2 linked regions of the Coturnix japonica genome follow. The protein of the gene in region 2 interacts with the protein of the main gene of each other region in a pairwise test. Links are inferred from orthologs where the notes say so. Each region holds a gene or a part of one and is shown on either strand. Other genes may lie near its edges.

Region 1 (12,794 bases), on a different chromosome or scaffold from region 2:
CTGTTTTGTTCGCCCCTATTCAGCCCCGCATAGCAGGGAGACAAACAGAGCTGTAAAAGCGGCATTTTTTTGGCTGCGGAAATGTACCTATGGACAGCTGGAGGGTCCCGTCGGGTTTTGTGACCCATTACAAAAGGGCACATCCCGACCCGGCACACACCAACCTCTCACGCACGCAAAGAACCGCACAGAAGCGCATCTGCGCCATACATCCGCGCAGAGATCCGCATCGGCCATCAGCGCATCCTTCCCTCCCCACCCCCCCACCCCCCCATCCCTTTAGAAAGCAGATCTCTCCTTTTAACCCCCCCCTCATCTCCCACCCCCCACTATGGCAATGTATTCCTGCGTACCCCCCCTCCGCATGCCGACAGCAGAACGCTGGGCCCCGAAATCGCCGCTTTCAGGCCGAAAATCGCAGCGTTTTGACCGCAAATAGAAGCTTTTGGCCCCAAATCGAGGCGTTTTGCTACAAATCAGAGCTCTTTTAATTCTCGTTGTCGCAGAGAAACGGGTGAATTTCGACAGAAAAAAAAAAAAAAAAGCCGTATTTTCGCACCTCCCGATCCTTTGGATTTTCTCACCCCAGGGGAAAGCAAACAGCGTGCTCCATTCTCTCTGTTTTTCACCATTCTTATTATTTATCCTCATCTCTGCATAATTCTGGTTTCTTTTAAGCAGTAGCTGGGGGGGTGCTGGGGTTGGGGGGGGAGGTTTAACTCGCTTGGAGGAGGCGAGGGCTGCGGTGGAGGAGAAATTCAATGGCTGCGCCAATTCCCAGCAGCGCCAAATGGCATTTTATAACTGGTGCAGCCCCGCACTGGGGTGAGGAGAGCGGGGGCCTTGCACATGAACTAAAACTGCGGCACGATTTTAAACCCAACCCAACCCACCACCAACAAAAGAAAGCCCCGGTGCAGACAAAGGGGCATCTCCTGCTCTGCCCTAATGGGACCGGGGCTGAGAGGAGGCTGCGGCGAAAGGGAAAGAGGGGGGGGGGAACGACGACTGCAGGAGATGGGATCCGTTTGAATGAACCAAAATGAACTTCCATACATCACGGCTTTTCAACATCGCTTAAACGCTTCTGACAAGCCCCTCCAGAGAGCCGGCTTCGAAAGTGCTTCCAAAGTCCCGTCCGAGCGATAAATTGGGATTTTCTCTTTAATTAATAACGATAAAGCCGGGCGATCTCTCCCTGCTCTCCAAGCAGGAGATGGGTGAGCGGTTCGAACCTGCTGATCTCCTCCTTTATCCGAACCAGGATGAAGGCAGGCAGGGAAGCAGGGATGGGTTGGAAATAACAACAATAACAATAATGATAACCGTAATAAAGAAATGACACGAGGCCGAGAGATCCCCCCCAAACCCCCCCCTCCTCACCACCACCACCTCCTCCTTCATGTTCTTGTTTTTCCCCCTCCTTTTGGACCATAAATCTGCTCCTCCGTTAAAACGTTTTCCAACCTGACCGCTCCAATGAGCTCCTGAAGGGTTTTCCGAACAGAGCCCGAACAAAACCGGGATTGTAAACGGGCTCCGAACGTCCCCCGCTCCGGGGATGTCCCCTCTCCGCACCGCGGAGCGTTGTCCCCAAACGGCGACAAGCAAATAAAAAGGCGATGAGAGACGCGGATGGGGGGGAGGGGGGAGCAACGGGCTGGCGGGGGGGGGCATCCTTCTATAACCACGCCCAGCTGACACAAATCAGGGCCGGGAAGAAATATGAAAGAGCGATATTTTATGAGATCGGCAGAAGTAATCGCTTCCAGATTTCTTCTTTTATTATTATTATTATTATTACTATTATTATTAATATGATTTTTCAGAGGAACCGGGCACAGGGCGACAAGCGATCGTCTCGCCATGCCCGATCTGCTTTTTGATTAGGAAGATTAAAACGCCGCTCCACTCATTTCATTAAAGAAAGGGACCTATAACAAGTTTTTATGAATTAAAACATCCCTCGCATGCTCGTTTTTTATCCAACCTCCCACTCTCCTTCCTCTTTCAGCAAGCCCGGAAAAGCGTCACCCTCACCGAGAGGCACCAGCCGGCCATGCCACTCCCCGACGGGGTTCCGCATATTGCTTTCCCTCGCCCCGCACTGCACGCTTTCACCATCCCGCACCCAAACAGCCTTTGATTCCCCCATTTCTCCTCGTTTTATTTTCTCTTCTATTTTATTTCTTTAAATTCGCCATTCCATAGAGGGCCGGGTTGGGGTTGAATTAGGGGGGGGTCTCTGCCTTTTTATTCACACTCAATTTTCACCATGCAGCATCTCCCACTCATTCATTTATCCCTCTATTTCTTCACCCCCTTCTTTCTTCCACACTCCCCCCATCACTTCTTTACCCCCCTATTAATTTATCTCCCTCTTCATTTACCTCCTACCCTATTAATGTCCCCCTATCAATCCACCCCTATCAATAACAACCCTTATCAACGTACCCCCATCCACATAACCCCCCTATCACTGCACCCCTCCTCTCTCTTTCTCTCTTCCACTTTTCACCCCAGCCCTTCTATCCCATTATCAACGTTATCAATTATGGATAAGAGGTTCTGTTGGATTTCACCCCTTCCCCTTTACCCCCCTCCACCCTGCAGCACTTCCCCACCTATAAACAACACGCATCTCTATGGCACATCTCCCCCCCCCAAACCCCTCGCCCCCAAGCGGACGGCAGCTGCCATCTCCTCTCATCCAAGCACCCACATTTCACCCCCCAACACACACACACACACACACACTCCTTCTTCTTCTTTTTTTTTTTTTTTAACATATCCTTCGATTGCCCCGGGGGCCATAAATTAGTACAATTCATTATCCCCATCTAAAAATGGATGCACGGAGAACCCTTACCTCAGCGCCTTTTATTATGGGCTGTGAAATAGGGCGGTGCGGGGGGGGGGGGGGGGAAGAAGGAAGCACCGAACCCCACTCCCCTCCACCCGTGGGCTTCCCGTGTTCTCCCCACGGCAAGAAAAAGACCATCTCCATACCGAGATAGATTATTATTTCTCCTTTTTCTTTTCTTTTTCAACACCCCCTTTTATTTATCCTTCCCCCTCCCGCAACCCCCCACCCCTCCCTTCTCCAACCCCCCCCCCTCCCCTTACAACCCCTCCACGTTCGGTATATTTACAGAGCTGCTCTACAATAGCCAACAGAACAAATATTACAGAACGGCCGTGAGACGAGAATGAAACACACAAATGGGTACAGCAGAAACGTTCACCACCGTGACAGGACATCATGGAGCCGCATTCCCTCCGGTCTCTTTGCTTTCTGTTTCCTCTCTCTCTCTCTTTTTTTTTTGTTGTTGTTTTTTTCCTCTTTGTTTGGGGTTTTTCTTTTTTTTTTTAATACAAAATATTTCGCTCGCGGAACCACGAAAGAAAAAAAAAAAAAAATACCGCATCCGTTTAACTTAGGAAATAAAATACTAAAAAAAAAAAGAAATATAATAATAATAAAAAGAAAATATTATTATTAATAATAAGAAATTCAAGTACTTCTTGGGGTTGTTTTTCCGAGGACACACACACCAAAAATAAAATACAAAAGGAAGGGGGGGGGGGGGGGGGGGGGGAGAAGAAAGGAAAACAGCCCCCCCCACCCCCTCCCACAACAGCATCTTTCTCCTTTATTCGGTTGCGTGTTAGAAAAGCCTCGAGTCCCAAAACGGCGTTTTCCTCTACAGCTAAACATCCATCCGCGCATCCAACGGCAGAATCACTTCAGACCCCCCCCACCCCCCCAAAAAAAATCAGCTTTTTTTTTGCCTTTTTTGCCTTATTTTGCCTTTTTTTTGTGTTATTTTTTCTCCTTTTTTTTTTTTTTTTTTTGCCTTTCTCTCTCTTTCTCTCTCCTTTTATTTTCCGCCCTCGTTTCTCTCCTCGCACGACATTCATTGCTGTTCCTTATCGCTTTTCTCTTTATTCATTTTCTTCATTTTCATTCGCCTGTTCTGAAACCAGATTTTGACTTGTCTCTCAGTGAGGTTGAGGAGTCTGGCCACTTCGTATCTACGGTCCCTCGTGAGGTACATATTGAATAAAAACTCTTTTTCCAGTTCCAGGGTCTGATACTTTGTATACGGACATCTTTTCTTCCTCGTAGAACGCGCATGAATCCAATTTGCGACGGGGTTGTCTGAGAAAGAAGATATTTTTTTCGGTGTGCGTTGTGTGTTTTGGAAGGGGGGGAGGTTGGGTGATGGGGGGGGGGTGTTACAAAGCAATGCAAACCGCTGCCTTTCTATATCCCCCCCCTCCCCACACACACACAACCTCCCCCCCAGGCCCACGTTAATGCTGAAAGAGACCTGCTTCATCAGCAGACCTCACCTAAATATATTCCGAGCGACCTTCGCTAGAGAGAGTTTAAGCTGTTTATTTTGGAGGGGCCATTTCCTTTCCTTTTGCCGCCGTTCTCACATTGAAAAGAAAGGGGGGGGGATAAAAGCAAATAAAGGAAAAGTTTCGGCGCATAAAACCCGCAGCGATGGGTTTTCAAATAATAATAATGATGACCCACCCGACTTGCTGCTCGCTGTAATCTAAGGACGTAGTCATAAAAAGTCAAAATTCCCACCATTTCATAGGCCCATAAACTCTTTTTACAGCCTCAGCTCTGCTCTGCTTTCCCTGGAAGCTCTGGAGGACCTGAAAAGTGCCGTTTATTTCTGCCATATCTCGGAGGTGACACCCGAGATGTCCCAGCGGCTCTTTCCTCGCCCCCAGGACCCCGCACGTTGCGGGGAGGAAAAGCTTTCCTCCCTTTCCGTGCCCGTTTCCCTTCGCTTTTCCTTTCCTTAACCTTCCAGCTAAAATCCATGCGTGTCGTCCCCCCCTCCCCGCCTTCCCATATCCCTGCTTTTACTTTTCCCCCTTCCGATTTTAATTGTATCGAGGGGTGATGGTGCTGAGGAGGTGGGGGGGTTGATAAACGGAGGTGTGAGTGCATTTCCACCTTCACTCCGAGCTCCGTAGGCACAAAGGTGCTGCCTGAGGCTGACAACCGGCTCGGCTCAAGGAAATCGCCTTTTTTCAACCCAAAGTTAGGCCGGGAGGTGCAGTCACACACGGAGCATCCTCTTGTCTTTCCCCTCTTCACCCCCCAGCCCCCCACCATCACAAACACACACAGACATCACCACCATCACCCCCAGACCCACAGCCCGGAGTCCTGCAGGGTTTGGGGCAGCGCCGGCTCCCCTCTATTGGGGATAGAGGTGCCGGGGGTTACCTGACCCTAACGCTGTCCATCTCCCCCCTACATACACACACATACACCGTGTTCAAGGTTTGCTGGGGGATGTTTTTTTTCCCCTCCCTCCCTCTCAGGAGCTGCAGAAGGTTCTTCAAGTGTATGGTCCAATGTCCTGATGTCCTGCGCCCGCTGCCCCGTGCCCCCCACCTCCCTCCCCACTCACTGGGTGCCATCTCTTCGCCAATTTTCCTCTTCTCTCCTTCCCCCTTCATCTCTCTCCCCCCTCCCTCCCTCGGGGGTACCCACCTTTTCCTTTATTCCCACGTGCTAAGGGTATTTTAGGAACAATTGCAAGGGTGCAGCAGCTCCTCTTGATTTTTCAGACAGATAAAAGAGCTTCCTCTTTTTTCTTTTTTCTTTTTTTTTTTTTTTTTATTTCATCCCCGTTTCCTTTCATCTAAAAGGCACCTCAGCAGTTCTTCCATCCCCTCCCAACCCCCCCAACCCCACCCCCTTAACAGCAACATGTTCCCCTCCATCCTGAGGGGGACACAGCTCCAACCCCGTCCTCCCGCGTTGGGAGTGGAAACCAGTGCAAAGAGAGGAGCTTTATCCCCCCTTTACCCCAACACACGCACTTCCCTCTGCCTTTCCTTCTTTAATTCATCTCCCCCTCCCAATTCCTACCCTCAGACCCCCTCAGCGGAAGGTGATGAACCCAAGCAACCCCCTCGCAAAGGAACAAATAAATGGAAATAATAATAAATAAATAATAATAATAATAGTAATAACGCTGATGATAAAATAAGCCGAAGAGCCCACGGATAAAAGTGCAGCTCTCCGCTGCCGGGCTGTGCGAGGCGGACTCTCAAACCCCCAGATCTTCCCGCATATCTGGAGTTTTAGGGTCGGGCTCTCTCTCCCTCTCTCTCTCTCTCTCTCTCTCTCTAAGGTAATTTCATTTTATTGAGTACGGTCCTGGAAGCTGTAATGCCTCCCCGGTTGTAAACAAGAATGACTTCGACTTACTAGGGTCTAATTCGTGCTTTTCTTCTTTGTGTTTGCTGGAAGCGATGGCTTCGGACTCCGGGGAAGGAATTGTCTGCGCTGCTCTGTCTCTCAGCTCCCCGGGAGCCGCGTACATGTAGTCCGCGAAGCCGCGCCCGTCCGCGGGGCCGCACTCCGCTCGTCTCCCGGCAAAGGCGTCGGGTTTGAGGCCGTAGGGGCGGGCGGCACCGGGAGCGAAGGCCGGGAACGAGACGGCCCCGGCGAGGGGCTCGAGCCAAGTCCTCATGTACCTGGGCTCGGCCCCCACGGGAGCTTGGGGGCCGTACGGGTGGTGGTAGCCCACGGACGACTGGGAATGGACGGGAGCCCAGGAGGTTGTAAAAACGGCCGGCTTGGGGGCGAAACTGCACGAAGGAAAGTCGGCACAGTCCGGGACTAATCCTGAAGGTCTGGCAGCAGCCGGGTGGGAGGCAGTGGTGGGGAACCTGGAGGCCAAGAGCTCTTCGTTTTCGTGGCTTATCAAGGAGTCTACATAGTAGTTGCTTATGGGGCCAGAAGCCGACATGGTTCCCCCTCTTTTACATTCATAAGATTATTGTATGAACTGTATGTGTACTTTTTATCTTCTCATAGAACAATCAGGGCAGGTAATTATTTTTTCAGCCTTTCCCAGTTTGCCATTGGCTGCCAGCCCTCACGTGATTGTATTTACCCAAAAATATAGCGTGGATCAATCCGCAGGTCTTTTTTTAATAGCGCCCGGGCGAACCGCTGCCCTTCGCTCAAAGCTCCGGAGCCGTCGGAGCGGGGGAGGCGGGGGCTGAGCAGCCCCGGGCCGGGCACAGCGGGGCCGGGGCCGGGGAGCTGGAAGGCAGCGGGGGAAGGGAGAGCAGGAACTATTTCCTGACGTAATTTGTCTCTGTCCTCCGATCCTGCGGCTTCTGGAGCTGCGAGAGACTGGAGGGAGGTGGGAGATGGGGAGGAAAGGGAAAGGGGGGAGAAGTGTCCCGGAGTTGGGGGTCCCGCAGCCCCTCGTTGGGGTTGGAGCGCTCAGCCCGATGGCACGTGGACCTTTTCTCATCGATATATATATATATTTTGCCTTATTATTATTATTTTTTAATATATTTTTCTCTCTCTTTTTTTTTTTTTTTTTTTTTTTTTTTTTTTTTTTTTTAAAGCGGCGATGTCTGAGAGATCTCGGATTGGGGGGGGGGGGAGGGGGAAGCACTTACAAGGATGTGAGGAGCGCCTCTGAAAAGAGGAAGGGGAAATCATAACACCACCAGCACCCAAAAAAAATAAGAAGAGGGGGAAGCGGGGGGGGGACGGACAGACAGACGGACAGACAGCAGCCCTGGAGCTGAAAGAGCCGCGTTCTTCGGTTAGAGAACGGCCGGCCGGGGATGTTTTTATGCCCTTCAATAAAATTTTTACGAGGATCGTTTGATTGTTCATAAACGTGTCGTTCGTTAAATAAAACTGCGAGGCTGAGAGTTCGTGCCGGGCTGACGGGGTTTGAAAGCGGCGGAGAGATGAGAGAAGAGCGGGGTGCTGAGCACGGCGCTGCGCTCCTATTTCTTGTGCTTCTCCGGGTTTCATTTCTGAGTGCGGTGTTGTTGTTGGGTTGTTTGTTTGGGAGGATATTTTTGCTGCTTTTTTTCCCCCCATTCGGTTAATAAAAAGAAAAGAAAGCAAACAACTCGGGGATGCCCTGACTGCGTGTTGGGAGGATAAGCTTTCCTTTGTAAGCATAGACAGGTAGGTACGTGGCTTACGCCCATTGGGGGTTGAAAGAATGGAGTTGGGCGATTTCTCTGCAAAGAAAGAAAGAGAAAGGAAATATATCCACCAAAAAAAAAAAAAAGGATCCCTCTTTCTCTCTTTCTTTCCTCTTCTTTTTCTTTTTACTTTTTCCTTTTTTTTTTTTTTTTTTTTTTTTTTTTTTTTTGTTTTTTTTTTCCTTCACATGTTGGTCATTCCTGACTTCTTTCCCTTTTTATAAGGAATCCAAACAACACACACACACACAAAATCATAAGCCTGATTGTCCGGGCTCCCCAGGGCTATTAATCACCTCGGGTTTTATAGGGCTTGGGGTGACGCGGTGGGGAAAGAGAAGGAAACGGGCAACGTTTGCAAGAGGAAGAAAAAGTGGGGGGATCAGAGAGATGCGGTGGTCCCCGTCCCCCTGTCCCCCCCCCCAGGGACAGAGAGACACCGGGAGGGCAGAGTGTCCCCAATTGTGCGGCGTTGCCCAGCGCGGATCCCACGCACCCCCGGGACAGAATCGCATTCCATTTCTCGCTCTTTCCTTTTCTCAGCAAGTCTAAAAGGGAGAGGGGGGGAGAAATCAGAGCGTGAGTGAAGCCAGCAGATCCGGAGACAGACAGGAGGGGAGTGGGGCTGCCAGGAGAGTCCAACCGGACCCCCCCAAAGTCACGAACCTCAGCTGAACCAACACTAAACGCTGCCCTTCACTGCATCGCGCTGCCCCTGGAAGTGGGGTTTCCCCCTCGGAGAACACAAGGAAGGCTCGGAAACAAAACCCCGACGGGAGGGATGTTTGGGGAGGGATTCGTGGTTTGCCAAATTCGAGGAGGAAAGTCATCCACTCGCTCAGCCGCAGAATTTATCCCTTGTTCCGTTCCGAGCCCCCTGCTTTATGGGAGCCCTTAAAGGGAAATATTCCTGCGGGAGCAGACTGTCTTCTTTGGCCTTTATCGAGACCAATTTATCTGTCAATCACAGCTCTCCAATGACGGTTACTTTTATGTTGGCAAGGAAAGAAAAAAAAAAACACAACCGTATCTATATACAAGTATATCTGTGCTCATCGTTCTTTGATCTATTCCCATTTTAAAACAGAGTTACGGTGCGAAGGTGCTGAGATGCAGGGAGTGACGTGAAAGCAGCCTGGCTTTCCCAAATTGGTGGCATATCTGGGCGAATCCTTACAAAGAAGGGTTGTGTGTATGTGCAGAAGGGGAGAGAGGGGAAGAGAAAGAGGCAGAGGGAGAAGGAGAGAGAAAGGGCTGAGCACGGAGGGGGGAGAGGAGCTCTGAGACTCAGTGGGGACGTTTTCCAGGGGAGAAATATGTCAGAATATACCACAGACGAACCGCAAAACGAGCAGAAATTACCCAAGCAGCGCAACCCTTAATGAGGAGCAGCAGTTTTTGGAGCCTTCATTCGAGCAGGCAAGGTCACGGAATGAGTCGTGGATGGGGAGTTTTGGTGGTGGCACACAAAGGCGAACATATCTTGGTGAAGATTTCTTTTATTTACACGGGAACCTCCATTGCACGGAGCGTTTCGCTCCCCGCATCGCCGTGGGCTCCCTCACACGCTCCCACACCCGCAAACACACGCGTGAAACGATCGCGATTGCAGTACAAACACCCCCCATCCGTTCGGGGATTGCACCGAGCAGTGCGAGGAGGAGATGGAGACACTTCACCTTACAGCAAACTACAGACGCGGGGTTAACGCAGCCTCCTCTCCCCCCTCTGTGCTGCGGAATCCCAAAGCACGAACTCGAACCCCCCGCAAAACACTCCATCCTCTCTCCTCTCGATCCGAAGCCATCCCTCGTGGCTGAGCTCAAAGTTACGAGAATCAAAGTCCGCTCAGAGCAGCGGGATCCCGAGCATTCCTCCTGGCCAGAAGCACGAGCAAAGATCCGCACCGCATTTGCAGCACGCTTTGCCATCGCATTCGGCTCCTGCAAGGTTATATCTCGCAGCGTTTGTGCTCCGCAAAAGCTCCGATTTCCCTCTTGGAGGGGAGATGATCGCTTCTCGAAATGACGGTGAACCACCGGGTCCCTTTCCGGGTAGACTCACAGCTTTGCCTCTCTCACCTCCTCTTTTCAATCTGCAGGGGGAAGGAACTTGGTGGCACGGAGCAAAACTAACGCTAGCAGCCCACGAGCCGTAGGAATCCTATCTGATATTTCTTTTATTTCCCGGTGGAGGAAGGAAAAATGGATTAAGAAAGAGTCTCTCCTGGCAAATGAGGAGGTTATAGAAGACGAAGCCTTTGTCTGAGCCATTGACTTCTGACACCTTTTCGGGGCTGAATGCTCCTTGCCATGTCCGCCCGCTCCCGGGCAATGCTGTGTGCTCAGCGCAGTGCATCCTTTTCCTCTCCCTTCCAAACCTTTTTGCTTTCGCTTTGAGCGATTCTTCCCTGATTGGAAGGAGAGGAGACCAAAAGAATATATATATATATATATAATAATCCTAATAAAATAAAAGCCAGAAGAGGGGAGGGAGAATAAAACCCTATTGGAGAGCTTACAGCGATGAGGTGACACTGATTTCTTGGATTTTCTTGCTTTTAAATTATCTCTTTTTTTTTTTTCTTGTGGGGGGGTGGTGGAGGGGGGAGGTTGGGAGGGTGGAAAAGTGGTGGTGGGGAAAAGAGATCCCGCAGCCCCCAGCAACAGAGTGTCGGCGGGGGGAGTGCTGGAGCTGCAGGCCCGGCTTCCCCGCAGCTGCATCCCGCAGGGGCCGAGCGTTGCTCGCCCGTTCAGGGCAACGAGGAGCTTGAACGCCGGGGGCTGCGCTGGGGGCCGAGCGGGCACCGACAGGCGGACGGACACACGGGAGGATGGACAGACAGACAGACAAATGGAGCCTCCGAGCAGACACACACAGACACAGAGACACAGATACATGAACGGGGTGACAGGGGGGGGCGGAGGTTGGGGAGTGCCGGGGGGAGAGAAAGGAGGTGAAGGAAAAAAAAAAGAGCTCAGCCTCATCCCCCCCGTGGTTTCAATTAACCACATGTCAAGGTCGGAATAAACAAAAAAAAATCGCTGGTTTCTCGCCGCTCCGACCACCCATTCCCACCCCCCCGTCCCTTAATCTCCCCCCCCCCCCCCCCCCCCCCCCCCAGAACACCTCGGCCGTGCGGAGCTGGGAAGGGCGGTGCTGAGCTCCGATCGCTCCGTGCGAGAAAGCGAAGTCAGCTGCAGCCAACTTCCCTCTGCATCTCAGCCCTCAGCAGCTCCGAAGTTCCCTTCTTCCCCCCGCTTTGTCCTTTCCCCACTCCCTTCCTCTTCACTTCTGCCAGACCAAGTTCTTTCTCTCTTTCTTTTGTTCCTTTTCTGCTATTAAAAAAAATAAATAAATAAAGGGGAGGGGGGGGGTGGATCGCACACAATAGACAGCGTGAATCCAAAGCAGACTCTCTGAAGAGGCCAGCAAAAATATTTCTTGGTCCTCCAGATGCCTCTATTTATTCCAGGATTGTCTTTTAAAGTAAATAAATATGGGGAAAGATTAATTTCAGGCCAGATACCACCCGTTCTTCCTGCTGCAGAGTAACTGCAGGCTCCGGGCTCTGCCTCTCCCACTCTCCCCCCCTTCTATGCCCCCCTCCCCCCCCTCCCCCCCCGCTAAATTCTTCGGCTATTCGAAAATCATATTTATTCAGCCCTCCTTACGAGATCTCACAGAGGAAAAGCTCTTCGGGCCAACAACAGAGAGGAGGAACTCGCTCTCTTATCGCCTCACACCGACGCGAAAACCTCAAATCCGACCCAACGTGAGAGACGGAGACATTCAGCTCTCGCTTCAAACCCCACTGCAGGAGTTTTCTACCTGCTTAAGTGCTTCCCCCCTCCACCAACCCCCCCCCCCACCCCCCCTCTGTCTGTTGCTAAGAATTCCTGTCTCTCCAGTGTTGGAGGTACGGGTAATAGACAATAAATTCCGAGGTGCAATTAAAGCTCTGAACAATTTCTTTAAGTGTGCCACGGTGCCCTTTATTTTTCCCCCCCAAATTTCAGGTCTCCCCCAGATGAAGCCGTCTCTGCAGATGTTCCCGAGCAGCAGCGAAGCCTCACGCTGAGGCATTCCAGGTTAGCTCGGTTTTGGGTGTGATAATGCAATGCGGGTCAAGGGAAGGGGAAAAAAAATCCCCAGCGAAGAAAATGAAAAGAAGAGCGAGAAAACAAGCCTGAACCCAGAGAGGCGAACTGTATACCGCCTGGAGAAACATATTTCTATCCTTCTCCCTTTACATTTATTATGTTTCTGTCAGACACCCTGTAATTAGCATAGATAACTATAGTTGCAAGCTCCAAGTTGTGTCTGCAGATCCTATTGTCTGGCTGCTCCGGTTGCACACCAGAGAGCTTGGAAGCGAGCACAAGGTGTTAGGAAGAGCCTGGTGCCCTCAAATAAGACAATAACCCCACGAAATTCACGGGGTGGGGGGGATGAAGGGGAGGAGAACGGTGCCGCTTTAGGCGATGGATTCCAACCCGAGCTGCACCGCGATCTCTTTGGCCTGGCGAGAGCATCTCCAGCTCAACCCAGTCCCAAACCTGCCCGCAACCCGAGGCTTGAAATAAAGGAGCTGGGGGCAATGTCCCGTCTGCTGCTTGCCCCCACCCCTCCCTCCGAGCTGCTGTTTGCACGGCCCGTACCTATGCAAATCCCGAGCCAGACAGCCAGACACCTTCCGACAACAACCTTGAGCGGGGACATTTGCTGTCGGGGACGCCTCTCCCACCCCCCCTCACCCCCCCATCAGCCCCAGTTATTTTGCA
Region 2 (15,775 bases):
GAGGAGTGTTGTGTAGTATGAATTTGAGGAAGGGGAATTCCAAGGCAGGCATCTTACCTGATTCCAAGGATTCCAACCTTGAGGGCAGCAAATCACAGCCCCTCTGTGGCCAGCTGAGCAGCAGCTATTGGCCATGGGGTTTAGTTCAGCTACTTTTGCCCCCAAAACACTGTATTCTGAAGTCTGAAATAGATGTCTGGGCTGATTATCTGGGGTTTCTGTTGCTGAGGGACAGCTTGTCCTACTGTGTACCAAAAAGCAGACAGTGCCTAGCAGTGCTCCTCCGAGCATGTCTGTTGCTTGGTCTTGGGTACTGGCAGAGGTTATAAGTTCTTCCTCCCTGTGTCTCTCTGGCAGGCTATGAGCTCCTCTTCCAGCCAGAAGTGATCCGGATATACATCTCCCTGTTAAAAGAAAGCAAGACTCCAGCCATCCTAGAGGCTTCAGCAGGAGCAATTCAGAATCTGTGTGCTGGCAGTTGGACGGTGAGTGCCTTGTAGAGCTGGACACGTTGGTGTTCATCAGTGTTTAAGGGAAAGGGGATCATCACTTTTTGGTGTCAACAGAGCTGTAAAGTGTCAAAGCTCTGGCATTCCAGGCTGTTGCACTTTATGTGGCTTGCTATTAAGAAGAGAGAATTCAGCAGCACCACTCAAATGTGGACCACATCTCTCCTTTGCTGTTGAGGGTTCTTTGCTTTCTATCAGCCGTTTCTTTCCAAGGGCTGCATGTGTCTCTGTCTGCAGCCTGTTCTCTGACACTTCTTCCCTTCTGCAGTCTGGAAGAAGGGAGTGTATGTTTGGGCCCGCTCTGTAGTCCTACTGTGCCTTTGCTCTGTGTTCTCTTTCTGTGTATGGAAAGATCAAACAAAGTCATGCTTACCTGGCTGACACAGGGGCTTTGACACCTGTGAATCAGTCCTCTCCCATTCACAGGCATTGCCTGAGGTTACTTGGAGATGGTTCTCTCCCTATGGGCATACTTAGGGCACTTGGTTTCTGAGGTGGGTGGGTGTTAAAGCTCCCAGTAATACACCCACATTCAGGAGCAAGGTGAAGCTGTGTGTGCCTGTGTTCCACCCTGGTGTTCTGCTCTCCCTGCAGTATGGCCGGTACATCCGCTCGGCTCTCCGCCAGGAGAAGGGACTCTCTGCCATTGCTGACCTCCTGACCCATGACAGTGAACGTGTAGTGAAAGCAGCATCCGGAGCTCTCCGCAACCTGGCTGTTGACTTGCGTAACAAAGAGCTGATAGGTGAGAGCTGCAGACATACCTCATATCTATCTGGCTTAACACTTCCTCTAGACTGAGTGGCTGAGGACATGCGTGGGCACAGTGGCTGTGCAGGGGATGTCTTGTTCACTTCCCAGAAAAACATACAGTGGGCTCCTTGGGAGATAAATCAGAACTGGGGACCAGTCTCTGATCCTTTTCTTTGCTCACTCATGCCTGACTATTTGCCCTTATTAGGTAAACATGCCATCCCCAACCTAGTGAAGAACCTGCCTGGAGGCCAGCAGACTCCAGCCAAAAACCTCTCTGAGGATACAGTCGTGTCCATCCTCAACACCATCAACGAAGTCATTGTAGACAACCTTGAGGCTGCCAAGAAGTTGCGGGAAACGCAGGGGATTGAGAAGTTGGTGCTGATCAACAAAACTGGGTAGGCTCTGCTTTGAAGGGTAGTGAGGGGCTTTTCCCAAGGCTGCTTTGAGTCTGTGGACATTGTCCAACATCTCTTGCTTTACTGCTTTCTAGGAACCGCTCAGAGAGAGAAGTTCGAGCAGCTGCCCTCGTCTTGCAGACAGTCTGGGGATATAAAGAGCTGCGGAAACCCTTGGAGAAGGAAGGCTGGAAGAAATCAGATTTCCAGGTATGGGGAATGGTGAAGTACCCTGTTGCAGCTTGGGTCCTGCTGCATGAAGAAAGTGCTCCAGGAACTCAACAGTGTTTGATTTCAGCTCTTACTGCTGTCACTAGAGACCCTTGAAGGTGTCCCCTCTGCCACTTCTCAGTGGGTGGATAGGTAGCAGTGGAGCAGAAATGCTCTGCAAAGTATGCAGCCTTGAACATCAGATCTACCAACAGGGAAAGTCTGTAGCACTAAAGCCATTGTGGCAGTGCTGAGGAGGGGAGGGGAAAAAAGAAGGTCGTCCAGTATTTGCTTCCTTTCCTAAAAGCTGCAGCTGCCTCTTCAAGGCTGGGTGCTGCTCTGACCCAGCCTAGGTAGACTACCTCCACCCTTTATTGTGGGTACACCCAAGGATTTGGGGTGTCTTCAGGTCCTTTGCTCCAAGGGCTGTGGGAGGGAAGCCCTGCTGGGGCTGCCGTGTGCTTGGTGTATGGAGTATGAGTGGTTGCTGTCTTGTGCTCCAGGTGAACCTCAGCAATGCCTCTCGGACACAAGGGGGAAACTCATTTGATGACAGCACCTTGCCTCTCATCGACAGGAACCAAAAAACAGGTATGTGCCCACCCTCCCTTTGGTGCTTGTCCCCATTTTAACTTGTGGATACCTGTGTTCCCTCTGTACTTTTCACCCCCAGCTTCCTTGGGTTCCCCAGGGGCTCATGCAACACCATCAACCTAGGGAGTTTTTTTTCTCAAGGCTGTAAAGGTTGCTCAGAGTTTACATAGGTCCTATAGTATCCTTGGGCCAGCAGTGCTGAGGCTGGAGCTCCACCTGTGCTTATCCAGCAGTGAATCCACTGCTGCTCTTGGCTGCAGAGGATATGTCTGATCTGTTTTCTCATCCTTGTAGACAAGAAATCCTCCCGGGAGGAGATCCAGATGAGCAACATGGGACCAGGTAGGAAAGGGACTGGAGGAAGGGCATCTTCACTGATGTGCTGGGAACACCTTGCCTCCGATGGGGAGGATGCTGGCTCACAGAAAGGCAGCATGACTGATGGTCTGCTGTCTTCCTCCAGACAACTATTCCACACTTAATGAGATGGACCACAGCAGGACACTGGACCGATCTGGTGATCTTAGAGACACGGAGCCAGTGAAGGCAGCACCGCTGATGGTGAGCAGCTTTTCTTAATGCAACTTAAGTGGGCGGAGGTGCAGGGAATGACACTTGGAGAACTGGGCTTCTGTGACTAACCCCCGCCTGCTCCTCGGCCCTACTAACCCCGTGTGTCTGCAGCAGGAGGAGGGGCAGGAATCCCAGCCCGAGGCAGAGGAAGATTCTGCTGTGTTTTCCCCTGTGTCGGTATGTCCTGCAGCACCCTGTCCAATGTGATGAGCGGTGGCAAATCCTGCTGTGCTGTTGGGGTGCTTTAGGCAGTCAAATCATGCTCTGATCGCTGCTGTCTGCAATCACCATCTGATCCACGGGGGCTGTAAATGTATCTTCACCGATGGTTCCTGCTCTGGATGTGCTAACATTTCTCCCCCTCTCTCTCCACAGCAGAAGATTTAAGCTGCTATTCCTGCCTCCGCTCAATTTGGTTGATAATATATTTTATATATATAAATATATATAACTCTTCGTGGTGGAATGGACCCAATTTTTTTTCAACTCTTTTTTTTTTTTTCGCTGGACTGTTAGTGCCAACTCGCCAGCCAAATGACTGGGCCTGGTCCCACAGGAGGCAGCCCAGGCCGCTCTGCCTCCTCTCAGTGGCTGCACCTCCCTGTTCTGGGACAACTATCAATAACTCTTCCTCCCTGTCCTCCACCACTTCCCTTCCTTCAGAGAGGAGGCCCTCCTGCCTGACTGCCTGCCACAACTGGCAAGAATGCTGCAAAACAATTCCAGACCTCTGCCTTGACCAGGAACTGCCTTCTCTGCCGCGCCTTCCTTCTGCTCGGAGTCTACTGCGGGGACAGGGACCAAGACCTTACTTGCCACCTTCCTTTGTTGCCTATAGGATATTTTTCTGTGTGTGGGATCACTCTTCAGCTGAGGCTGCAGGGACAAGAGCATCCCTCCCTGGTGGCAGCGGGACTGGGGTGCGAAGGAGGCTGGAGTCACGGGGGTGTTGGTGGAAAGGAGAAGCAGCAATAACTCTTCTTGCTTTGATCTACGTGAGGCTTTGGGGGTGTGGGAAGAGGGATCTATCTTAACTCTGACTGTTTGGCCTGATTCTGGATCCTGCCAGGGAGAACGGGGGGTCTGGATGGGGCAGTTGAAAAGAGGAGGGATCCTTATGTAGGGAGAGGGTCTGCGTGGTGTGGTGGGACAGGCCTCTGCCCTGGGGTGATCCTTCCCTGGGGGAGGAGGAGAAGCAGCAGGGCTTTTGGGGCCGGCTTTCTTTGGGAACTGGCTGAAGTAGCGGTGGGTCTTTGAGGGCATGCGCAGCAGGTAGGGCCTGGATCCCATCCACCCCCGTGCACCAGCTGCCCGTGGCAGTGCCCCCTCAGACTTCTCTTGACATGTGCCTTTCTTTTGCCACTGTGAAATAGCTCTTTGAATTGTACTGTCTGGCTTCGCTATGGGAAGCGGTGTAACAGGCTCCTGGTGGGGCTGAGCTGGAAGCCCAGCGGGGGAGGATCCCAGCCCTGCTGCCTTTGGCTGCCACTACTGAATAAGGGCAGGGCTCTCCCCTCCTGTCCTGGAGCATCTCTGTGGTGGTGGGGCCGTGTTTGGTGCTGTGATCTTTGGGGTGAACAGGGGGAGGCTTTTAGGCTCCCTGTGCAACTGGAACCTCCTTGCAAGGCTGCAAACTGGAGAACGGAGCCCTCCCCAGTACACACACTTGTGCCTCGCTCTTCCAGCTCCAGCCACACCTCAGCTCCGTTTGGTTTTGTTCTGGGGTCTAACTTCTCTCTTTCCTTTCAATACGTAAAACACTAATTCCTTTTAATTTTTTAATTCCAGATGAACCAAAAAAAAAAAAACCCACCACACAAACAAAACACCAACCACAAAACCAAGCTTCCCCCTTCCCTCCTCTCCTGTGCAGGGCAGGGGAGCTGGCTGCAGGGTGAGGGTGGAGGGGGCAGGAGCACCCCGCTGTTCCTTGTCTGATTCCTGTGCACACTCTTGTAACGCTTTTCAAACAAAATGATTTTTTTATATAAATAAAGTTTTTAAAGTGTGACCTTTTGTTGGCGCGTGTTGGACATGAGGCTGATGCCTCTCCTATCTTAGCCTTACAGCTAAGCACAGTGGTTTGCCACTGGGGCTGGTGTCTGCTGAGACAGTAATGGGAGGAGTTGAAGTGTGATGTAGCACTGGGATGGTGTTTATTTATTTGCCCAAGTTAAGAAATAACAAACTCTAAGAAATACAGTAATTTCTTTATCTGGCAACAACAGAGAAGTGGCCGGGGGAAACCTGCTCAAGTGAAAGCTGCGGCTTTGTGGGTGCGATGCCAAGGCTGTGGGGTATGAAAGGAGCAATGCTGTGGTTGTGGAGGGGTGGGACCGGAGGTGGTGTTTGCTGCAGCTGGGGATGCTGAGGGATAAAACCCGAGGGGTTTGGGGCTCAGCAGGGCAGTGCTCGTGGTGCTGCTGCCAGGGAAGCCAAGCAGAGCAGCAGCTCCTAGCAGCATGAAGCCTGGAGCTCAAAGGAAGAGCTTGTCGTGGCAGGGCTGGCAGTACATCTTGTCCCCGCGCTCACGGAAGGTGCCTTTGTGCAGCTGGCCCAGGCAGTACGAGCAGATGAAGTGCTCGGGGTGGTACTTGCGCCCGGCGGCTGTGATGCAGCGGCCGGTGATGGGGCGCCCGCAGCCGTGGCACACGCTGCCCTGCCGCTGGTGGAAGTGCAGCTCGCAGTAGGGCCGGCCCTCCAGCTCGAAGAAGGAGCCGTTGGTGAAGCTGCTCATGCAGTCCTGCAGGGGAGAGTCATAAGGTTGGTAAAGACATCTAAGATCATCTAGTCCTGCTGTCAACCCACACATGTTCAGACATCCCCAATGCCACATCTATGTGTTGAACATCTCCAGGGATGGCGATTCCACCACCTCCCTGGGCAGCCTGTGCCAGTGCTGCACCACTTTCTGAGAAGGAATGTTTCCTAATAGCCAGCATGAACCTCCCTGCTGCAATTTGAGGCTGCTCCCTCTCATCTTCTCAATGTTACCCTAGAGAAGAGGCCAACCCCTACCTCCCCACTACATCCTTTCAGGTCAGTGTAGAGCAATAAGGTCTCCCCTGAATCTCCTCCAGACTGAATGAGTATTCAAAGGGAGAAGGCTGCCGTGGCTTTGAGATGTGCCAGCCCTGCACCCCTCTGACTCACTGCGCAGACGAAGCACTCGGGATGCCAGACGCCCTGCAGGGCTGACAGGTAGTTGTCGGTCAGTGGCCGCTCGCAGCCCTGGCACTTGGGGGCAAAGAGGACCACGAAGTCCTGGAAGCAGTAGGGTTTCCCACCGCGCTCATGGAAACCTGCAGAGAAGGCAGTGAGATGGGAACTGGGCTACGGGAGGGCTGGGATGGAGATGCAGGTGCCAGGCTGGGTTATGTGGTGTGGAGTAGGGGATGTCCCCATGAGACAAACCTTCATCTCCAAACACCTTCCCGCAGTGGGCACAGAAGAAGTGCTCGGGGTGCCAGGTCTGGTCCATGGCGGTGAGGACTCTCTGTGGGCACAGGAGAGGTGAGGCACTGGGTACAGGGACAAAGAGGTGGGCAGGGCTGTGCTTACCTCGCGGATGGGGCCAGCACAGTAGGCACAGCGTGGGGAGAAGGCCTGGTGGTAATCCTCCTCACAGTACGCCTGCCCCCCACGCTCAAAGAAGGGCTGCCCGCCCAGCTCCTGCCCACAGCGGGCACAGGTGAAGTGCTCGGGGTGCCAGGTTTCACCTAGTGCAGTGAACATCTGCGGGACAGGGATGAGTGAGGGACGTGGAGGCTGCTGTGAACCCCAGGCCCCCACCCCGTGGCTCACCTTGCCGGCGATGGGCTTGTGGCAGGCGGCACAGACGGCAGCAGGAGCAGCAGTGATGCCCAGCTCCTGCAGGTCCCGCGTCAGGCCACCCAGCATGTGGTCCAGAGAGTGCTCAGGGCCCACTGGAGCTCCAGCTCCTTGCCCCACTGCTGCCAGCTGCGGGGATGGGGGTGAGTGAGGGACTGGCTCCACCCTGCTCTGTGCTGCCTGCCCCTGGATGCAGCTCACCTTGCTTTGCATCTGGCCCAGGTCAGCCAGCAGCTCATCCAGCTGCCGGGCGGCCGCTGTGGGTTCAGGCGAAGCAGACAGAGGTTGTGGGGTCGGCACAGGGCTGCTGGGCACAGCAGAGAGCAATAGGTGCTGCAGTTTCAGCCTTGAGACTGAGGAGCACATAGGACAGAGCATCTTCACCCTCAAAATGCTGCTCTTTCCCCACGAGCTGTGGTAGGAGACAGGGGCTCTCCATGGGGACAATGCTGGAAGCCCACCCCTCACCCTGGCAGTGGGCACAGCAGGATGTGACCCCTCACCCCAGCTCGCAGAAGGACCTGGTTTTGGTGGGGACACTGAGGAAGCCAAGTGAGCCTGTCTGAACTAAGGAAGGGGTAACCCCGACGGCTCTGCCATCTCATGGCTGTATTTTACCTGTACACGGTTTCCAAACGTTTGCCTGCAGGCTGAGACCGAGGTGGCAGTGGCACCTGAAAGGACAAATCCCTGTGGCTGAGCTCCCGGCACCCTGCAGCATCCCACCCCTGTCATGGGATGAGCAGGGCTGCAGTGCGAGCCCCGTTCCCAGGCCCTGGGCATTACCTTCGGGGCTGTCGAGGCAAGAGGCTTCTGGCTGCCTGGGGCTGGGGGTTTGCCTGGAGGTGCATCCTGCTGCCTGGTGCTCGCTGTCAGCAACGTGCAGTTGGTGGGGGCCGGCTGGGAGCTCTGCTCCAGCTCTGCCAGCAACGCATCTGCATGGAGAGATGCGAATAAGGAACCCACTGCCCATCTCCGTGCCCCAGGCAGAAGCTGTTTCCAGTTTATGCAGGAACATCAATCACCCTGAAGTTTCTCCGAGCACAAGCCCTGGCACAGGAAGGCTCAGCCTTGATGCTTCCTGTGCCCCAGGGCGGTGGGATCCTTACAGAAGATCAAGTCCTTTCTCCTTCTACTTTAAGCTCCCCACCCTCATGGTAAGACATGGTGATGGGCACCCCTTGCTGAGCAGCTGCCCCATCTCCCTGCCTGGGGTGAGGGCAGCCCTGCTCACGGTGCTGCCTTTCTCAGCAGGCTGCTGGGCCCCACAGCGCACAGACACACTGCACCGTCACCGCTGCCCGCTTCCTGCCCTGCAGCACGCTCCATTTTTGGCAGAGCCCAACCGCCCGTCTGTCCCCGAGATGGAGGAGCAGATGCTGCCCCCTGTGCTCCAACCCCACCTGCCCCAGCCAAGCACAGCAGCACCCGCAGTGAACTCGGCCACAGGCCCAGCTCAGCCTTCCCAGCACCACAGGGACCCATCTTACCCAGATCCTCCATGCCGCCTGTGCAGCGCAGTGCGAGCAGCCGGGTGCACCGCGCTCAGTTCCGCTCCCAGCGCTGCCTCCACCCCTGAAAGCAGCGCCCAGCGCTGGGTGCTTCCTTTGTGGGCTGTGCATCGTGTGCAACGAGTGATGGGGCCACAAAGGGAACGAACTGAGCAATGGCTGACCAAGGGTGTCACATCCCTGCAGCACCGCCTGCATCCAGCCCGGTGTTTGGAACAGGCCATTGGGCTCAGCAATGCACGAGGCCCTTCTGTCCCAGGCTGAGGCACCACGGTTTGGTTATGACACGCCATATGGTGACAGCACTGCCGGTACCATCCCATAGTGAGAGCACTCAGCCAGGCCCCGCAGTGTGTCAGGGTGACGGATACAAGAGGTTCCCAAAGGCAACATCACAGTATCACAGTCTGGTGCGGGTTGGAAGGGACCTTAGAGATCATCGAGTCCAACCCCCGGGATTCGAGCCCCTGTGTAGCAGAGCGGCACTTCTACCACTTGCGCCACAGGGGGGATTCGAACCCAGGGCCTCCGGTGTCGCAAGGCGGCATTCCTACCACTGCGCCACGGGGCACACAAGATGGCGGCGCTCCGTCCCATTGAGCTCTATGCTGGGAGCTGTACCAGCCATCGCCCTCAGAGCCACTTCCGGCTCAGCCGCACCCGCCGCACTACAACTCCCATCATGCCGAGCGCATGCGCGGAGCCCCGCCGGAAGTGGGCGGAGCTCGGCGCGCTGTCCCCGCCCCCCTTGCGCCGGCCGCCATTTTGTCACCGACTTTCACCCGCCGCCCGACGGGGCGTTTTTTTTTTTCTTAAAGGAGAAGCGACAGCCCCGCAGCGGGGCCGGGCCGCACCGAGCCGGGCCGAGCCGTGCCGAGCCGAGCCGAGCCGGCACACAGCGCCGCATCCCGGCTGCACACAGCGGCCACACGGCACACCAAGCAGGGCACACTGCACCATCCCGACCAACGGGACTCGGGGGCGGCCGGAGGGGCGCGGGGAGCGGCGGCGGTAGGAAGGAGCGGACGGGAGGCGGCGGGAGCGGGAGTGCGGCCGGGCGGGCGGAGTGAACGGCGGAGTGTAACGGGACTTGGAGCGGGAGCGCACGGAGCGGGGCAGGCCGGAGTGAGGGGGGGGAGGTGGAGGCGGGAGACCGAGCGCGGCTGAGCTTGCGCGGGGAGGCGAGCGCCGATTGGCCGCGCGGCTGCTCGGGGGCGGGTCTTGCCGCAACTCGGGCGTCTATTGGCTGGTGGGCGCGCGAGCGGCGGAGAAAGGCGGGAGGGCCGCGGGTCGGTGGCCGCCCGCTGATTGGTCGGAGCCGGGAAGGGGCGGGGCGCGGGGGGCCCGCGTGAAAACGGATACCGGGCTGTGATTGGGCGAGAGCGCGGGGCGGGGCGGGGCCAGCGGAGCGGGGCGGGCGGGAGCGGCGCCCAGACGCGGCACCTCCGTCTGCCGCCCCGATGCCGGCGGGCACCGAGCAGCCGGACGGAGCCGAGCAGCAACCGGAGCAGCAGCAAGAGCAGGAGGGGCAGCCGGAGCTGCAGGAACAGCCCGCACGGAGCCCGTCTCCCGCGGCAGAGAAGCCCCCGCCGCCATCGGGACGCCGCCGCCCGACTGCGGCCACCGCCGAGCAGGGGGAGGAGAGCGGCGGCGGCGGCCGGGTGCTGAGGGGCGGCCGGGAGCGGGGCCGGGCCGCAGGGGGAACCGCCGCCTCCCGGCGCCGTAAGGCTGAGTACCCGCGGAGACGGAGGAGCAGCCCCGGGGCACGGCCCGGCAACGAGCTGCACGATGCGGGGACAACGACCGCAGCCAGGAGGGCAGCGCCACGAGCAGGGTGAGTGCGGACATGGCCGTACCGTGACACCGCCGGCCCCGCTGGGAGCTGCCTCTTATGCCCGGCTTTTGTCTCCCCAGGTGCACGGATAAAGCGTCCGGCAGAGGTAAGAGCCGCGTGTCTCCGCTGTGCTGTGTGATGGAGCTGCTTTAGGAGGAAGCCCTGTGTGTGTATGGGGCGTGCAGCTCCATTCCAAGGTGTATCAGGGCTGTGGAAGTACCCACCGTGCAGGAACTTTGTTCTCCCAATTAACCACCAGGGTATCTCTGTGCCGGCCCCGAGCAGCTGCTGGCACAGCTGGGCTCACATCTGTGCTGGGCTGTTCTGAATAGAGGTGTGGGTTTGCAGGTGGATGTGCAGCTATTGATCTTCTCTGGAGTCCCAGTGTGTAGCAGTAGTGAATGGTGTGCACTGCTGCTCCCTTAGGGATCATAGTGCACTGAGCACAGAGCCCATGTGTGTGTATGTGCTTAGTGCTCGTGGTGTATGTGAGGAGCCCCTGGATTTGGGCAGGTGAAGTGCTGTGTGTTGTTTCCAAAGATCCATCTGTGTGGGTCTGATGGAGTGATTGTGGAAGAGTAAAGTCAAAGCTGTGGTGTGCCAGGGTGTGTGTGTGGTTGTTGCCCATGTGCATGAGGGCAGCTGTGTTTCCTGGCTGCTTAGTCATGCAATTGCAATATTTCCCTAATGTGTTTCTATAGAAATATTACTTTCAGAAGGGGAACGTATAATCTCAGCTTCAAAACGGACTTGTATAGCTGTGCAGTGTGTGCCACGTTGGGTGCTCTGTGACAGCGTGGGCTCTTGTGGGAATAATTCTCACTTTTGTTAGGCCTGAATAACTTTAATTATTGGAACGTATGTTTAATGAATGCATTTCATGGCCTTCTATTACCAAACTGAGAGCTGAGTGCTTCCTGTGGTTCTTTGAGCCGTGGCAGCAGTTGGTGGTACCCACCGGTTCTGTGATAGAGATGCTTTCTTTGGTTGGGTATCCCTGTGTGTTGTGCTCCAAGGACATCATTACACCAGGGTGTGCTTATTCCCAAGGCTGCCATGAGCTGTGATGGCCCACGTGTTGAGTGAGGATGGATGGTCCTGGGGTAAGCTCCTCCCCAGAGCATTTTCACTTGCTTCTCCAAGCCATGACAGCAGAGCTCTATCTCTGCATCTGGCTGCCTCTCAGCTTTCCCTCCTGTCGCTGTCTAATGTTTTCTTGAGGGATCATATCGTGGAAGGATGGTTGTTGCCTACTGAAGTGAAGGTCCGTTGTTAATCTGCGTGTTTTCCACCCTAGATGCTGTTAGTTGAAAGTTGGGGAGGATCAGAGTGGTGAAAGCACCTCAGCATAGAACTGCTTGTCACAGAGTTACTGTTTAAGGGGAGTTCAACAGAGCCTGATGATCTGTAATAGCAACATGCATTCCATTTATCTCACTTCTTGCTCTAATTACCCAAATCCTGTTAACTGAGGAGCACGTGGCTTTCTGCTCAGGTACATGGGGGGGAGGAGAGGGGTTTCACCAGGTTAAGTGTGGTGTCCAAGACGGGACTGGAAACAGCAAGGTTAATTATTGCAAGGTATCATCAGTCAAGGGAGCAGCTCTTACTGTGTTTTCTCAGAGGCACAGAAGTATTCACAGCATGTATAAAAAAGCAACAAATCTGCCAGACAGTGCTGAAGTGGGGGTGAAAGTGACACAGGAAAAGGCTCATTCACACCTTCACTTAGAGAAGTGGAGCAAAATTGCTGGGTCTGTGGTGTGCTTCATAGGAACGAGTTCTGATGGGGGCCGGTTTCAACTCTGTATTTGTAATGTAGAAAATATGGGCTCTGAATAAGAAATCAGCCAAATTCCAGATCTGCTGAGGGGATAAACATCTTTTGAGGGCAGCAGTTGGTGTGTAGAGTGGTGGTGCTCTGTGGGAAGGATGCTAGAGAATGGTTTCCAGGTGTATGAATTTGATTTAGTGTTCAAAAAAACTAAGGATTTTCAGAATTAGGGTTAAAAACATAAAGCAAATGTAGTTGGTGCTGAGATCCACGCAACCAGGAAGGCAGAAAGAAGGCATAGTTCGTGTTTTGTAATGAAGGTGGCTTTGTGTATGTAAAACATCAGATTTGGTTGCTGTTTTGAGGCCTCATATCCTGTATTCCAATCAGATTTATCAGTCAAAGGTTGGTCACTCCAACTGTTAATGAGGGACTGAGGATGGGGCCCCAAACGAGCACCGTACCAGAAGTTCTATCTCAAAGGTTTGGTGGAAAATGAGGGAAGAGCAGAGGGGGCAGGGGACCTCAGGGGGCCTCTGGGCCCTGCTGAGTGTGGGTTCAGTGTGGAGCTCATGTTTTGAAGCCCTCTGGGGATGCACAGCAGCACGGCTTTGGCATCCAGCCCTACTCCCTGTGCCTGGCTGCCCTCTGGGGAGGGCCACACAGCCATGCAAATGGATGTCAGTGAGAAGGAGTGTCTCAGAGCTGAGCCTGGAGCTCAGGCCCCGTGCCAGTGTGCTAATGCAGTGACAGAGCTGGAGCACAGAGCCCGGCCAGCTCCTTGGGATGGATTCCTTTAGCACATCGTTTGTGAAATGTCAGAAAGCATTTGAGTGTGTTAAGGCCCGGTGTTCCACCAACCACCAGGAAGTGAGATCAGGTGAACTGCACTTGGAATTTTAATTTTTAAAGAGATGAACTTGCTCGCATACACGTTTTAGTTGGTTCTGTTCTCCTGCCAAAACCTATATGGAGGTCGGCCATCAGCTAAAGAGGAACCACCTGTAGAAGCAATAAATGAGTGCACAGGCCTCCGGGTGGCAGTGCTTGTGATAATTTTTGCTCTAGCACAAGACTAGAAACAACCAGCTTGGGTTCCTCAGGATTGTTATCCAGGGTCCCCTTTGGATTGGGCATGTCTTTAGGGGGTTCTCCAAACATGACTTGAAATATGGGTCGGTTTTGAAGCTGGTCTTAGATTAACAGTGAGATTTAATGGTGTTTCAGATCCCAAAGAAGAGAAAGAGGAGGAGGAGGTTTCTCCTGCCCTCAACCAGGGCTCTCCAGTCAGCACAGCCCGGCCCAGCAGGAGCTGGCGCAGCAGCAGATCAGCCACTGCCACCCGCCAGCGTGAAGCCGAGAACTCACGTGCCTCCAGGTCCAAGACTGGCTCCCTGCAGCTCGTCTGCAAGTCGGAACCCAACTCTGACCAGCTGGAATACGGTATGTGGGAAGCACTGGTGTGAAGTGCCTGAAGAGAGGTAACTTGTGGGAACCTCTGAAGGGAGCTGTGTGTGGGTGTCACTCAGTGAGCTGTGTGCTGACTGTGGCTGCTCCAGGCGTGGTGCTGCTTTGTCACAGGTACCTTCTGCCACCAGCACTCCTGGCGCTGAATGTCGGCGGAGGTATCTTGAGACAGATGAGCTCACTGCAGCGAACACAGATTGAAACCTAATGGTGACTTTTCCTTTCAGAGGTCACAGATGAGCATCGGTCTCCAGCTGGAATCAGGTAGGAAACTTTTTCTGGGACAGTTCTTTGCATTTAGTGTCAAGAAAACACCATATGTGAACAGTTTCTCAAATGCTTGTGACATGGTCTGTGAGAGTGATGGCAGCTGTGTTCCCACGCAGTCCTGGCCCTTCGCATTTTCAGCTTGGATTGCTGATGGGCTGCAGGTGTCAGGAGATATTGGAGAATTGGGCTTGGTCAGCATGGGCCTTTCAGCTGGAAGCCTTGTTCCTTCTGCAGCCGATGCTGTAGTTGGGTGGGTTCTCAATAGGACGCTGCTCTGCCTAGTTGTGCTTCTTAGTGCAAACAAGGGATGAGAACTGCTGCATGTCTTTCCCATCCTATGGGGAACTGCATGATTATTCTTGCAGTAGTGCTTCAGTTGTCACTGCATAACTCCTTTGTTCTCCTTTTCTCCTGTCAGTGATGATGAGGAGGAGATCCTTGCCAGTGAGGAAGAAGTTCCCTTCAAAGATGATCCAAGAGATGAAACCTACAAGCCCCATCTCGAAAAGTATGATAGATTACCTACTTAACTGTGTCTTTAGGTTAAAGAAGCAACTGTGACCTCTTAGTTGAACTAGCTTAATGTGACCCAGACAAACCATGCCGGTTGCTGACATGTAGTGGCTCCCATCGGGTGTAGTGTTCTCCTCATCTCCCACACCTCTTGGGAACGTTTTCTCTCTGGTGGTCTGAAGCTTTTAGAGCCCTGTCAGCAGCCAGGTGCATCTTTAGACCTCCATTCCGCTTTGTTTAGAAGTGGGATTTGATTAAAACATGAAGTCCTATCCAGGTTTTGCCTAACTGTAAAGAGTGGACAGTGCTTTTTAAAGAGTATGGAAGGACAGGAAGCTCTTGGTGCTAATTTAGTGGAAACCCAGTCACAGCAAGCCAGGGGTATAGAGGCTCAGAGGAAGACAGAGGCATGGGGGTATCGTTAAATAGATACCACTTAACGTTGGAGTGATAGATTGTATTTGTGTCTTTGTAGGGAAGCTCCAAAGCAAAGGAGAAAAGCTGGCAAGGGAAAAGAAGAAAAAGAGAAACAGAAGGAGATTAAAGTAGAGGTAAAAGAAGAGAGTGAGTTTCGGGAAGATGAAGAGCCACCAAGGAAGTGAGTAAAATTCTGCAATTATCTGTACCAGCGTGTACAGTGTATTACACATTCTTGCTAACAACAAAAACACTGTTGTATGCTGTTTTTCCCCTCTGGGCCTGTAAGATAATAGGGCAGAGCCTCTTGTTCTGACTGAAGTACTGTTTCTTAGCATCCTGCTTGCGATTGGCGAGGGAAAGCAAGAGGTGATGTTTTCATTTAGTTGAAGCAGTGTTTTTCCATGCTGGGGTTTAGTCAGCCTGCCTGTGAAATACTGTAGAGAGGTTTTAAAAACAGGGCTCAGCTATCTGAAGTGTGTTGTACTTCAGTGTTAGGCTGTGTTAGAAAGCCAGTCTGGGAACGCCAGAGCTCTTGCAGTGTGTGTCCAGAGGTAGAGTACTTCATACATGTCGTGTGGAAAGCTTCCTCTTGGTGCATTTGGGATTAATGCGCCAGAGCTCAGGAAAAACAGCTGCGTTATCCCTCCTTTTGGAGGAGCAGAGAGAAGGAACTGAAGCTCCCTGGTCATCATCGATGCTTGGAGTGGAGCCTCAGAACACCTACCTGGGTGTGCTTTAGTGCTGCAGCTGAGGGGGAGCGTGTTTGTGTGTTTGGGTCCAAACCATTGTTTGGGATAGTGGAAAAAAACAGCTTTTGCACTTGATCTCCTCTATTAGAAATGGGAACAAAAGGAGCTCCCTCTGCTGGCAGCAGCGTGGGGCTTTGCACACCTTTGTTTTAATTTCTCACGCTGCTTCTAAGCTGCAGCAAGGCTGATTGACATTGGAGAGAAGTATTTTTGTGAAGATCTTTGTTTTTTTTTATGCCACATGGGGCTTTCTGAGGGTTCTGGTTGTGTGTTTGGAATAGATGCTTTTTTTGCATATAAGAAAAACTGTGCTGCTCCTGAAGGTTTGGCTTGGATGCTGAGTGCCTGCTCAGCTTGTTTACTGGC

What was found.
Region 1: the proteins of LPXN (region 2) and HOXC9 interact in binary tests that used the Homo sapiens proteins (3 or more experiments, as listed by UniProt). The two-hybrid records come from large-scale screens. The link is inferred for Coturnix japonica from reciprocal best matches to the Homo sapiens genes LPXN and HOXC9.

What each region holds. Positions count from the first base shown.
Region 1 is NW_015439867.1:138,021-150,814, forward strand, and holds HOXC9 (homeobox protein Hox-C9), read right to left. Parts: upstream 7,078-12,794; 5' UTR 6,795-7,077; coding exon 6,251-6,794; intron 4,163-6,250; coding exon 3,918-4,162; 3' UTR 3,848-3,917; downstream 1-3,847. UniProt on the Homo sapiens protein: Sequence-specific transcription factor which is part of a developmental regulatory system that provides cells with specific positional identities on the anterior-posterior axis.
Region 2 is NC_029520.1:7,835,438-7,851,212, forward strand, and holds LPXN (leupaxin), read right to left. Parts: upstream 9,059-15,775; 5' UTR 8,980-9,058; coding exon 8,937-8,979; intron 8,846-8,936; exon of another isoform or gene 8,375-8,845; coding exon of another isoform or gene 8,362-8,374; intron 7,807-8,361; coding exon 7,658-7,806; intron 7,546-7,657; coding exon 7,490-7,545; intron 7,179-7,489; coding exon 7,073-7,178; intron 7,001-7,072; coding exon 6,845-7,000; intron 6,776-6,844; coding exon 6,602-6,775; intron 6,537-6,601; coding exon 6,455-6,536; intron 6,343-6,454; coding exon 6,194-6,342; intron 5,784-6,193; coding exon 5,517-5,783; 3' UTR 5,173-5,516; downstream 1-5,172. Other genes in the region: CTNND1 (catenin delta-1), read left to right, coding at 358-485, 1,104-1,254, 1,471-1,663, 1,759-1,873, 2,377-2,464, 2,762-2,809, 2,931-3,028, 3,152-3,217 and 1 more; E3 ubiquitin-protein ligase ZFP91, read left to right, coding at 9,843-10,216, 10,297-10,322, 13,218-13,433, 13,685-13,721, 14,146-14,235, 14,716-14,838. UniProt on the Homo sapiens protein: Transcriptional coactivator for androgen receptor (AR) and serum response factor (SRF). Contributes to the regulation of cell adhesion, spreading and cell migration and acts as a negative regulator in integrin-mediated cell adhesion events.